Linked DNA regions of Ovis aries. The protein of the gene in region 2 purifies or fractionates together with the protein of the main gene of each other region. This does not show direct contact. Links are inferred from orthologs where the notes say so. Each region holds a gene or a part of one and is shown on either strand. Other genes may lie near its edges.

What was found.
Region 1: the proteins of OS9 (region 2) and DERL2 purify together in Homo sapiens (affinity purification with western blotting; 3 studies listed by BioGRID, with this or other methods). This does not show direct contact. The link is inferred for Ovis aries from reciprocal best matches to the Homo sapiens genes OS9 and DERL2.
Region 3: the proteins of OS9 (region 2) and SERPINA1 purify together in Homo sapiens (affinity purification with western blotting; 4 studies listed by BioGRID). This does not show direct contact. The link is inferred for Ovis aries from reciprocal best matches to the Homo sapiens genes OS9 and SERPINA1.

Annotation. Positions count from the first base shown.
Region 1 is NC_056064.1:25,956,021-25,960,606, reverse strand, and holds the start of DERL2 (derlin-2), read right to left. Parts: upstream 2,608-4,586; 5' UTR 2,581-2,607; coding exon 2,488-2,580; intron 1,625-2,487; coding exon 1,559-1,624; intron 1-1,558.
Region 2 is NC_056056.1:161,936,879-161,941,364, forward strand, and holds part of OS9 (protein OS-9), read right to left. Parts: intron 887-4,486; coding exon 676-886; intron 558-675; coding exon 453-557; intron 233-452; coding exon 132-232; intron 1-131. UniProt on the Homo sapiens protein: Lectin component of the HRD1 complex, which functions in endoplasmic reticulum (ER) quality control and ER-associated degradation (ERAD).
Region 3 is NC_056071.1:56,847,835-56,852,420, forward strand, and holds the start of SERPINA1 (alpha-1-antiproteinase), read right to left. Parts: upstream 2,808-4,586; 5' UTR 2,717-2,807; intron 490-2,716; exon of another isoform or gene 421-489; intron 1-420.

The DNA.
Region 1 (4,586 bases), on a different chromosome or scaffold from region 2:
GACTAGGAAACAGAGCTTTAATATATGTAGTATCACAATCTAATGAACAATCTCAAGATACCAAAGGAAATTACAGGATCTAACAGCAATTGTTTCTATATTAGCCATCAGAAACATCCAGAATAAAGAGTAATTCTAAAGCAAATACTCGAACAGATATTCTGTTCGAATAGCCTGAACAGACAGCCAACTCACTACAAATAAAGATCTAATACTGTAATAATTAGTTTAACTGGTAGATATGCACTTATTTTCAAACCCTGATATACTCTTCCCCACCCAAATCATCCACGCCTGCAATAAGAACAACTACTCACAATGATAGAACATTTAACATTTTAAAGTGTTTTAAAATATTATTATCTCATGTGATTTTAATTATCCTGTGAGATGAGGAGGCTGACCAATACCATCCCCATTTCACACATGATGTAACTAAGAGACTTGGATGATTTTTAAATGGCCTGCCTAATATCACACAGCTTGCAAAGGGAGGCTCTGAACTCAAACCTAGAACTCCTAATTTCACACATGGTGTGAAGAGTTTAACCTCAGGCAAAATCAAGCCTTGTTTGTTTGGATCGAGCTAAAGCTCCCAGTGAAGGCCTTGTGAGTGCAGAAGGAAGAAGGCAGTGATAAGGGTTCACGGGACTCCTTTACGATCATTAAATTCTTAAGAATTGCTAACTATTAAAGTTGAAACAACTCAGAATTGTTTACTGCATACTAATTGCATCCAGGATTGTAGAGTCCTCAACCTTGTGAGACAGGCATATAAACAAGTGCAAGTATGAGATGAGAGATATAAAAAAAAGTATTTACAGATACTCTAGGGACACAAAGGAGGATGAATCCGAGAAGGCTACACAAAAACTGCATACTGAAAGACAAGCTGGAGCTCAACGGGTACAAAGTGAATGAAACACCTCTGTGACAGAGGAACAGCAGGTGTAGAAACAGACTTTTGAGCCTAGAACAAAAAAAACCCATCCCTCTTTAGCATTCTAATTACTGGAAAGGACTGTCTCTCACTGTAATCTAATAAACTGGCGTTTTCTTAGATGTCAGTCTTTGAGAGGATGATGTGATCCCTGGGAGATGGGTTAGAGCACTTATTGAGTTTCTGAACTGGATCACAGGGATAACACCAAGGTGGTGACTGTGCCACATGGTGCTGGATGGACTACATATGGACATCCTCTCTGACTCTCCCTGGACAACTAGCGGATCCAGTCTCCTCTCAATCTATACTACTAAATCTGAACCAGTGATTCCTAAATATAGGAACTGGACGCATCAAATCAAAACCATACAGGCAACTTTGTAACATAGCCTTGGTGATTCTGATTTGGTATATGCTGAGGATCTTGAGAATCTCTTTAAAAGTTCCAGGCTGCAGAATCATTGCTTTGTACTCCCCCACTGCCCCCCAACACTTATAATCAAATATTCCCACTGAGTTATTTGAGATAGTATATAGCAGGATTAGCTACTTAAAAGTAAGAAAAACAAGTTTAAAAACTGCAACATTAAATGGCAGTTGTGATGGGCCACTTACTTGAAAGTGTTTAAAGATTAATTCAGGATTGAAGTACAACTGAAAAGGTGTGATCAGTTCCAACTGCTGAAATAGAAAAACAACTTCTTCAAGCAAGTCAATCAAGAAACAAAATATCATCATTTACTACAAAAGACTGGCAGTTCTCGCAAATTTCCCACTCTCAGTGACTTAGACTGAATTATTTAAGGTTTACTTCTTAAGCTGGAGGAAGGTTGGTAAAGAGTTCTCTAGAACTGGCACAATTCTTTGCGTTCCCCAATACCTAACACAAAATAAAAGTCTGTTGTTTCAATAGCTGAGGCTGATGTGAAGGTATGGCAGGCAGGTGGTAATGTCTTAAATTCAGGGCAAGTAAGACCAGCTGCTAGGATTATGCCCAATACATGGGCATCACCTAAAACAACTGTGCGAAGCAACAGAATTCACTCGAACCAAGACTCAACACCCTGCCACTGTGAGGGCTGAGTACTTCCAGCCAACCTCTGTAAGTCTCTTTATTTCAAGACTTTTCCCGCTCAACAACTTCCATCTTTCTATCTTCAACGTCTACGTTTCTCCACTAAGCGGACCTTCCTCCCAGTAGTCACAAAGGATCATTCTGTGGCTCTGAGAACACCATCAGAGTTCTCTGACACGTTTCCTGGGTGGGCGGCTCCCGCAGCCCTGACTTGGTACAGGTCCTGCCTTTATGTCTCAGAAACTGACCCGCAGTCCTGATCCTCCACCCCTTATGGAACAGCACCTCTTTTTCTGGATCACTGGATAGTACTTACGGGGCGATACTGAACCCCAGAGTGAGCCCTGTACGCCTCCACCCACCCTTGAGACCAACCACTCTGAGCTTCCCCAAGGCCCAAACCCCAGTTTCCCGAGGACCCGGGCATATCCAGTACAACTCATGAGAAGCTGGCGCTGCAGCTGCTCACCACAGCGGCGGTGGTGAGGACGCAGGCGGTGGTATAGGCACGGCTGACCGGTGGGATCTGCAGGTACTCCAGCCGGAGGCTCTGGTACGCCATCTTCCCCACCGCCGCCGGCCCCCCCCCACCCCCCACTTCCCCTTCCGCCAGTCCATCCCAGCGGCGGGGCGGGATCAGGGCGGAACCAGAGCGGGGCCCTCCCCGTTACGCTGCTATCCAATCAGCGCTGATCAACCGTCCAGCCACCAACCGCTAGAGCCCGAAGAAAAGCACATCCGCCAATCACGAGTTGCGTTTCCGCGGCGGCCCAGCCTAACTTCTCCACCCACCAACGTCTTGGGGAAGGGAGTGAATACCGATTCCTTCTGCCAATCCCCGCCGGCCACAGCTAGCTTTCCCGCCCGGCTCCTTTCCGTCACCAATCTAGGTGGCCCCCTCCCCAGACAGTCGGCCAATTAGGAGCGCGGGGGCATCCTGCCCTTGCTGTCGTTCGCTAAAGCAGAGAGCGGTCAGAATCTGGGGGAGTCAACCGCGCCGCCTATCTCTGGCAGCCTGCGGTGGTTTAAAGAGGTGGCGGGAAGCTGGTGTTTGGTCGAATTCATCACTCTTATAGTCGCTTGGGTAAGTATCCACGGGGCTGCATTTTCTCTGAAGAAAAGCGGGAACAGGTGGCACTCGGTGGGGCGCCATCCCGGGCGCTAGAGCGGCCTGATGGAGCAGCGTCTCCAGCGGGCCGCGAACCTCCACCCTGAAGGTCCCGGCATGCAGCGGGGGCGCGGGGCCTGTCGGGAGCCACTTCTCAAGCCGGAAGTAGTTCCTGCCCGGAGGTTTCTGGAGCTTCGGCTCCTCAACTCGCTGAGGTGACCGGTGTACTTCCCGCGTATCACCTGCAATATCGGTTGAAGCCTTACTCATCCTGCCCTCAGGAAATCTAAGGCTTGCAGAGAAGATAGGCTTGTGATAATAGTAACCTAAAGCAGGACTTGGGGTCGCAAAGAGTAGGTCACGACTGAGCGACTTGAACTGAACTGAAAGCAGAACTTGATCAGTTCCCGAAGAGAGGCCCTGTTGGTTTAACGTGGATTTTTTAGTTTGGAGGCTTGTTTAGGATTGGGTAGAGCTCATGAAAAGCAGTCCAGTATTGGTAGAAACTGCTGAAGCAAGAATTTCAGAGAATCTTGCTGTAACAAATTGTTGGCGAGATTCCCTGGACTAGGAAATGGCAACACACTCCAGTATTCTTGCCTGGAAAATTCCATGGACAGAGGCTCCTGGCGGCCTGCAGTCTATGGGATCTAAAGAGTCAGACACGGGGAGAGCACGCATGCCACGCATCCCATTAAAGAGTTCATCAGTCTTTGGCTGGGGGTTTCATAATGAACAACCATTTGGACAATAAAAATAATATTCTGGTCAAGAATAGTAGAGTCATGCTAATGGAAACAGTAAGTTGTTGGGTGGGGCAAGGAGGCTCTTTGGTAGTTTCAGTCCTCAGTGTTCAACCTGTGTGTGTGTATGGGTGGGGCAGGGAGGAGGGGGGGAGGGGGTTAGATGTTTTTGGTTTTCAAGAAACAACGCTGTAAAACCATTTCACCAGATTGGCAAAAATTAGAAGCATTAATTACTTCACATGCTTATGTAAGGCATCTGGTTCCATCACTTCATGGGAAATAGATGGGGAGCAGTGGAAACAGTGTCAGACTTTATTTTGGGGGGGCTCTAAAATCACCGCAGATGGTGATTGCAGCCATGAAATTAAGAGACACTTACTCCTTGGAAGGAAAGTTATGACCAACCTAGAGAGCATATTCAAAAGCAGAGACATTACTTTGCCAACAAAGGTCTGTCTAGTCAAGGCTATGGTTTTTCCTGTGGTCATGTATGGATGTGAGAGTTGGACTGTGAAGAAAGCTGAGCACCGAAGAATTGATGCTTTTGAACTGTGGTGTTGAAGACTGTTGAGAGTCCCTTGGACTGCAAGGAGATCCAACCAGTTCATCTGAAGGAGACCAGTCTTGGGTGTTCATTGGAAGGACTGATGCTGAGGCTGAAACTCCAATACTTTGGCCACCTCATGCGAAGATGCTGGGAGGGATTGGGGACAG
Region 2 (4,486 bases):
GCCTCTGGGTATGGTCTTGCATCCCTAGATAAAAAGAGGTCATCTCATAATGAACCTCGGCTTGAGTGGCCCTCCGACCCAAAGCCCATGTTCAGCCTCCTCAGAGAGGTGGCTAGGAAGCTGGCTCTCACCTCAGCCTGTGTCTCCTCCCTTTCTTGGGGCTGTTCCTCTGGCTCGTGAAGCATCTTCCAGAAATCTGATTCTTTACTGTTCTCCTTGGCTGGGCTTGCACCTAGAATACAGAAAACAAAGAGAAACCTGAAAGGATAGATGGGATATGTTTCCCTCTTCTATTGTGAGGGGTTAGGGCCTGTAGTACTCCTTCCCCCACCCCAAAAGTCAGGGCTGTTGGGCTGTTGAAGACAACACATCCCTGGGTGCACAGGACAGTAACACTGAAGAAAGGAAGAAGTGGAGACGTGTGTCACGAAACAGGTGACTCAAGGACCTACCTGCTTTCTTTGGTGGCACCACCCCAGGCTTGGTCTCACTCCACACTGGAGGGTCCGGGTCTTGCCGCCGCCCCTCTAGGGCCCTGTCTCCGTACTGCTTTGAGTCTACCGGAAGATGGCATGTCCGCGGGACGAGGACACGTTCTCAGCTCCTTGATACTTGATCTTCTGCCTGTCCCTCCCTCTGTGTCTGCTTCCTCCCTGTCCTCCTTTAAGTACTCACCAGCTTGCCTCTGAATGTAGGCCATGTACTCCTCAGGCTGCAGGGCGGGGTGGCAGAGAATGGCCTGGGGAGCAGCACTGGGTGGGGGCCGAAGGAGTGGGTGAGGGCAGAGCCGAGGAGTTCGAATGGTCAGCACGTAAGAACAGGACAAGGGCTCATCTACTCGGTCAATGTAGTCCCCAGAGATACCAGCACCCTCATCACAGAGGAACTGCCAGGACAGGAGGATGAATAAATAGTAATCACCACCAACCATTACTGTTATTCTGAAAACAGTTGTCTGCTATTGAGGACTTACAGTCTGGCAGGCACTGTGCTCTGTGCCTTGTGTATATGGTGCTATATATGCATTGTTAGTGTTTAGTTGCTACATTGGATCTTTTTTGCAACCCTATGGACTATAGCCTGACAGGCTCTTCCCTCCATGGGATTTCCCAGGCAAGAATACTGGAGTGGGTTGCCGTTTCCTTCTCCAGGAGATCTTCTGACCCAGGGATGGAACCCCCGTCTCCTGCACTGGCAGGTGGATTCTTTACCACTGAGCCACCAGGGGAGCCCTTTACATGCATTGAGGTGAAGTGAAGTCGCTCAGTCCTGTCTGACTCTTTGCGACCCCGTGGACTGTAGCCTGCCAGGCTCCTCTATCCATGGGATTCTCCAGGCAAGAATACTGGAGTGGGTTACCATTTCCTTCTCCAGGGGATCTTCCCGACCTAGGGATAGAACCCGGGTCTCCCGCATTGGAGGCAGACGCTTTAACCTCTGAGCCACCAGGGAAGCCCTTACATGCATTAGCTCATTTAATTATCATGACAACCCAGTGAGGGAGGTAACATTATCTCAACTCTGTGGCTCAAGATACAGGGGTTTGATATAGTTGAGGGACTTGTTCAGGCTGACCAGCTGGTAAGTGGTAAAAATACGAATTGAACTTGGGCAACTTAACTGTAGGTAACCAGCTGATTTCTGTTTCATGTTCTTGCTTTATGTAAATACAGTATGTACATACTTATACATATTTGATATATATTTTTATATGTATTTGAAATATGTATATTCTGTGTGTGTGTGCATGTGTGTATGATTTAAAAAAACTTTAAACAGTTCTAAGGTCTTTGTATTAATCAGAAAGAGAGTAAAGATATCAATTAACGTTAGCCTTTGATTAGTTAGGATTCACCCCTGTAATTTCTGGGGCTTCCCTGGTGGCTCAGCAGTAAAGAATTCGCTTGCCAATGCAAGAGATGTGGGTTCGATCCTCGGTTCAGGAAGATCCCCTGGAAGAGGAAATGGCAACCCACTCCAATATTCTTGCCTGGGAAATTTCATGGACAGAGGAGCCTGGCAGGGCTGCTACTGCTGCTACTGCTGCTAAGTCGCTTCAGTCGTGTCCGACTCTGTGTGACATGGAGTTGCAAAGAGTTGGACACGACTGAGCTTGCACACACACACACTCTGTAATTTCTAAAGTAACTGTTACAAGTAGAAGAGAGGTCCCACTTCTGAGTGGCCGCCCAAGGAGCTCTGCAGATCCACTCCCTAGTGAAATTCCATAACTGGTGAACACTTTTTTTTTTTTTTTTAACTCAGGCATTTAAAATCTCTGGAAATTTTCCTAAGGACGTACAACAAATTAAGAAACATCTATTCAAGAAAATCCACTAAATCTTGAATAGTGTAAGTTTATAGTACTTGGGCCATGACCCTCCTTCTTTTCTCTCAACCCTGACTTCACAGCTCAGACAGATGCTCCATTCCAGGTGAGTAAGTTCCAAAAAATGGGGCTTCTATCCCCTCAGCAACCAGTCAAGAGATATGGTATGTCACCAGAGGGGCAGGCCACCAATATTCCTCAATCCTCTCTAGTTACAAGTTGCAGAGAATACCTGCTGAATACGGTCAAGAGACTGAGGACTCCCTCCACCCAGCCCCGCTCATAGGACAGTGGCTGCACCTCAGGAGCAGAAGGACAGGAATACTGGGCCTTGATCACCCTCACCACAGATCACTGAAAGGGCAGAGGCTTCACAACAGAGATGAGAACTGAGAGGACCAGAGGCTATCACCCCTGCCCAGGTCTCTGCTCATAAAACAGGAGCGTCACTCTGACAGAACTGGGTCAGTGTCTCTGACATCAGCTCCAGAGCAGGGGCTTAGAGATTCTGCCAGGGGGAGAGGCAATCCACTAGAACAGAAAGCTCCAAAGGTCTTTCCAAATGAACTGACTTCTTGTGAAACAGTATGAGGAAGTTTAAGCCTAAGGGCACTTTCCAAAAAATGAAAAAAATTGGAGGTAAGCACTAAAGAAGAGGCTGGCATCATAAAAAACAACCCTGGTACAGAAGCCCAAATTTAATTGGATCAGATTATGGCGCAACTTATGCCCCACATGTCAAAAACTACAGAGCAATTGGCTAGCAATTAATGAGTATGAACAGCTGGGTATGATATAGGCAGAGGCAGACAGATTAACACATCAGCAAGAGAGACAGTCACAGGGAGCCCTGCTGACACACCATCATGAACTGCGGCTGTGTGCATGCCCATGGCTGTGCCCTCAGAGGAGTGACACAGGGCTTCATACTGCAAGAGGAGTAGGCCTCACTAAAATAGCTCAGCCAAGTCACGAAAGAAACAAGCAAATGACCAAAACATGTCTCATGGTGGAGGCCAAGAATTAGTATCCAAACTTGCTCCAATATATTACCTAAAATATTTTAGGTATATTTTAATATATTTTTGTTCACTTTTCAGCAAAAAATTATGAGATGCACATGCAAAGAAACAAAGTGTGATCCATACACGGAAAAAGCAGGCAACAGAAAATGCCTGTGAGAGGAGACAGATGTTAGATTTCAGAGAGAAACATTTTAAAGTAGTCATTATGATAAATTCAAAGAGCTAAAAATTTAAATCATATAAAGTATGTTCTCCTATAATTAAAAAAGATACATGCACCCCCTATGTTCACAGCAACACTATTTACAAAAACCAAAACATGGAAACAACCTAAATGTCCATTGACAGATCAATGGATAAAGATGTGGTGCATACGCACACTGGAATACTACTCAGCTGTGAACAAGAATGAAATAATGGCATTCGCAGCAACATGGATGGACCTCTAGAGATTATCATACTAAATGAAGTGATTTGGAAAGAGACAAATACCTTATTATATCACATAAATCTAAAATATGATGCAAATGAACTTATCTATGAAACAGAAATCTACTCACAGACATAGAGAACAGACTTGTGATTGCCAAGGGGGAGGGGAGGTGGAGAAGAGAAGGACTGGAGGTTTGAAGCTAGCAGATTCAAAAGTGAAAGTCGAGCAGTCGTGTCCAACTCTTTGTGACCCCATGGACTGTAGCCTGCCAGGCTCCTCTGCCAGTGGAATTCTCCAGCCAGAATGCTGGAGTGGGCAGCCATTCCCCTCTCCAGGGGACCTTCCCAATGCAGGGATCGAACCCAGGTTTCCCACACTTCAGGTGGATTCTTTACTATCTGAGCCACCAGGGAAGCCCAAGCAGATGCAAAGTATTATGTACAGAATGGATACACAAGGTCCTATTGTATAGCACAGGGAACTAATCCAATATCCTGTGATAAACCATAATGGAAAATAATTATGAAAAAGAATGTATATATGTGTGTCACTTTGCTCTACAGCAGAAATTAAAACAACACTGTAAATCAATTATATTTCAATAAAATACATTTTTTATAAAAACAGGGACAGAGTATGTTCTTTAACCACAGTGTAATGATATTAGAAGTTAATAACAAATAAAAGCATAAATAAACA
Region 3 (4,586 bases), on a different chromosome or scaffold from region 2:
TGTCCCTCCCTGAGCCTTATCGTTCTCATCTGTAGAAGCGAGAAAAGATACACACCCAAGCAAATGCAGAGGCGGCGAGACCTACAGAAGACACCGACGGGACAAGACCTACAGAAGACCACCGACGGGAAAGATACAGGAGCTGCGCCAGCAGAAACATACTCCCTCCTAGGTCGCTGGATGCCAAAGCCAGCCCCCACCCCCTCACTTCCACTTCTGCTCGCAGAGGGCCCCTTTAGTCACCAGGAGGAATTGGGGAGGCCCTGGATAGGCTTGGGAAGCAGGAAAGGACCCCTGGGCTGCTGTTACTATGACAGCAGATGGCCTGGCCCCAGCCTGCTCCATCCTCCTTGCATCCCCAAGGCTTGCCTGGGGAGCGCAGGGTCCTGGAGGCCCCTGGCCAGTGGAAGGCATACTTACGATTCACTGTCCCAGGTCAGGGCTGCTGACTGAGGCTGAGGAGACAGAGCCCTGTCCTTGCCCCTATTTAACCACTGGACCCAGAAGGGCGAAGGGGGAGGCTGCTGGTAAACATTAACCAAGGTCACCCCAGTTATCAGAGGAACAAACAAGGACTAAGTCCATCGGCTGGACACTGGACTGCCTGCTCACGTTGTCCAGCGGTGCTCCTTCTGGGCGGCACGCAGCCCTGTGCTCCATATCCCTGAGAGAGTCTTTGTGCCCAGCTCATAAACCACAGCATCCTGCATCCAAGCTGGGGTGGCATTGATGCCGACATTCTAGGGGATGGCATGATTTTGCTGGCCTGCAATCCACTGGGGAGCTCTCAGTTGCTGCTTCATCAGTAGCAAGAGCTACCACTGATGGAGCCACCTTGAAATGCCCAATGCTCACTGCTGGGATTTCCCTGGTAGTCCAGTGGTTAAGAATTTGCCTGCCAGTGCAGGGGACATAGGTTCGATCCCTGGTCAGGGGAGATTCCGTATGCTGTGGGGCAACTATCCCATACAGTGACTGCTGGAGCCTGTGCCCTAGAGACCGTGGCCCGTAACCAGAGAAGCCGCTGCGATGGGCAGGCCGTGCACCACAACTAGAGTAGCCCCTTTGCCACAGCAAGAGGAAGCAGCAGCGAAGAGCCAGCATAGCCAAAAAAAAATTAAAAAACAAACAAACAAAAGGCCCACTGCTGAAGATGCAAGGGGTAGAGAATGTTATGAGCTCAGCTGGCAGATAGAGAAACTGGTCATCTACCTCAAGTCACCAAGCAGACACAAAACCGCTCTCGCCTTCCCTGGAAAGAAAATGGGTCCTGACTGCAGTTGACACAGCTACCTAAGGCTGATATGGGTGGCATGGGCACAGGCCCAGGGTCAGAGAGTAAATCTATAGAGGGTTGTGTGGCCTCAGGCAAGCTGGTCCATCTCTCTGAAACATGGGGTAGTTTCATTTGCATCCTAAGGCCTTGGAAGTCCCACTTCCAGCTCATTGCCAGGGATGTGGAACTCACTTATGTAAAGCACTGGGCACATACTAGGCTCTTGATTTTGATCTGCACAGCCCTCTGCTCACACCTGCTCACCAAGCTTCTCCAGGTGGGAGGAGGTGCAATTCCTGGCCAGCCTCAGGCCTGTTTCTGTTTCCGCTGGATCTGGCTTCCGGCCAGCTAACTCGACCCACAGGCTGCCTGAATTTTCCTGGGACCTGTGGCTCCATCCAGGAGCTACGGCTGGCTTTTGGGGGCACTGGTGGTGGCCAGGGTGGTAGTGTGGGATTGAGGCCAGTGGGGCCCTACTGGGGTGGTGCATGTAGTTTGATGCCAGTCGCCTTGGGCTTTTCAGTGGGTTAGAGTCCATTTAGAAGCCTGAGGCAGTTGGCATCATGCTGTGTGCACCGCCCTACACACCCTTGGCACGCCATGTACACTCGGTATTTGTTGAGCCAGTGGACAAGTGTGTCTTTGTCCTCCGCTCATCCCCTGGCCCCAGCTATGGGACTGTGCCTGGCGAATAGCCTGTAGGTTCCTCTACTACACAGGTTTAGACCAGGGAACCCAGCATCCCCACTCACTGGCTGTGAGATCTCAGGTGAGTCATTTAATCGCTTCATGCCTGTTTCCCCATCTGTAAAATGGGGATGTGACAGTTTGTACCTCGCTGGGCTGCTGTGAGGATTAAATGCAGCAGTTTCAGAGCTCAGAGCCCAGCGTCGGGAGCACATGGTGAGCCCTGTGCCCATGGGTCTCCCTGCTGTGATTCTAGGTGGGTGGTCTGGGGATGAGGGGAACATTCCAGGAGCTTCCCTCCAGGCTTCCCTTACTCAGTCCTCTCAGTGTCCCTGTGAGGAGAGTGTGTACCACACACCCCCCCAATATAGGAGCAGAAATGAGTCCAGGGAGGGAAGGACTCTCCGCTCCTATCTCTCCAGACTTTCCGATTCCACAAGCTAGCTTCAGAACACTGACTCTTTCTCCTGAGCTGGCTGAAGGAGTTTCTTACCCAGGGCTCTGCACCTACCCGTAGCTTGAAGACCTAGGGTGTGATGAAACAAGGCTTGCCCTCCGTACCTCCTGGACATTTGTTCCCCTCCCCGTGCCTCAGTTTCCCCATCTGTAAAATGGCCTCCCTCCATGCCTGGCTGCCCCTTTCAGCTCTCTCACTGAGTGGGTGTAGGCAAGTGTCCAGGCTGTTGCCACGCTTAGTGCCTCTCAGCCTGGTGTTCTGGGGCAGGTAGGAAGGTGCCCCCCTATCCCCCTTACCTTCAATGCCAGGTTCTTGTGGCAGAAGGAACTCCTCCTCCCCTGGGGCTCCTGGAGGCAGTGTGTGCCCTAAGCGTGGCGTCCAGGCTCTGCCAGCGCAGGAGGAAGGAGCTTCTGGGTGGTTCAGGCAGCAGGTCTGGGAGGGGTGGGGACCCTGGGCAGGAAGCTGCCTTGCACAAAGCTGCCAGGAGCCAGGCAGATGCCAGAAAACCCTTTCCAGCCCAGGCGGTAGTCTTGTGTGTCACCTGTTGTCCCTGCTGTGTCTGGCTGTGTGACCCAGGATGAATCACCCAGTGCCTTTGAGCTTCTGTAAGCGGGCTGGTAGCACCTGGCAGAGCAGATTAAAGGGCATGACAGGCGTCTCCTTTTGGCCCAGAGCCGGGCATCAGCGTTTTGGCAGGTTTTCAGGGCCACCTGTGGAGGGAGGCAGCCTAAGCCACCTCTGAAATGCACAAGGGGAGCCCCACAGAGACTGAGATGGGCTGTGTTTATTGGGGAGGGTGTGTTACAGACGCTGGCTGCAGGAAGAAGGGATGTAAGATCTTAGGGGGGACTGGGGCACTTGGAGGAGGAGTGAAGAAAGGATGTGAGGCAGGGCTGGGGAGAAAGTGAGGGGCTCTGGGTTGGGACCTGTTCCTTTTGAGTCCAGGGCTCCATGCTCAGCCCTTCCTCGTCTCCCCATCCTCCCACTGCCCACTTCTGTAGTATTTCACACTGCAGAGAGCTCCTCTGGACGTGCATCCTGGGAAGGAGCGGTGGGATGATCCGGGAAATTGGGCAAGCACAGAATGCCTGGGGTGGGTCCACCCAGGGGCCATTCTCCAATCACAAATCAGAAGCCAAGCTGGAGAAAGTTCTGTCCACTTGGTTACTTCTGGAACTATTGATTGTTGTATCCAGACTGATTCTCTGGGAGTGAGTGTATCCTAGAAAGATGCTGTGCGCTGGCTGTGAATTGGCGGTGTCGGGGAGACCCTGTCCCCCCATAATCCTGCCTAGATATGGGAGAGGGATGGAAATAAAGATGAAGTGTGAAGTCTGCAGCAGGAAGGGAGTGAGGGGAGGCGTATAGACCAAGTAGATGAAGGACCAGAGGCCCTGCTTGGTCCAGAGAGTGAGGGAGGACTTCAGGGATGCTACATCTGTTGGCAGTTTCCCAGAGAGTGTGGGACCTAGCCTACACTGACTGCCCCAGGCACACACACAGACACATCAATGTACCCCCGATACTCACTATGGGAGCCCCCTTCCAGGCACCAGCTCCCTTCTTCAGGGGGCACTGTGGCTTAGTGGCTCAGGCATGGGCTGGGGGGCTGAGCATCTGGATTTAAGCCTTCACTCCACAACTATCTGATGAGATCTTAGCTAATTAACCTCTTTGCACCCCCATTTCCTCTTCTGTGAGTTGGGGAATAAGAATGACCACTTATACCAGGACTGTGAAGAGCCAGTGTGATGATAACACACAAGACAGTCTCAGGCACAGATGGGCCCTAAGTCAACGCCAAACATGTTTTATCTTTGATATTCTGAGCCCGGAAAACCTCAGATGAATCCCAGGATCTGAGCAGGAGAAAGATTTGGAGGGAGGGGCTAGTGCATTTGCCCAGAGACACCTCTTCAGATTCAAGCTTCTGGCTAAAGGCCACCAATCCCCTCTCCTGGGGGCTGGGCTCATTTTGCTTCCTTAGGTCAGAGGGCCATGGGCAGTTACATCTTTCTGAGCACCTGTGAGGGACCGAGGACCAAGTTGGGTGAGGGGTGGTTGGAGGCAGGGGAACCTGGACTTAGAGGAGGAACTCATTTCAGCTCTCTGAGCCTCAGTTTCCTCCTCTGTTAAATGGGCATACTTAGAATCTCTCTTGTTCAT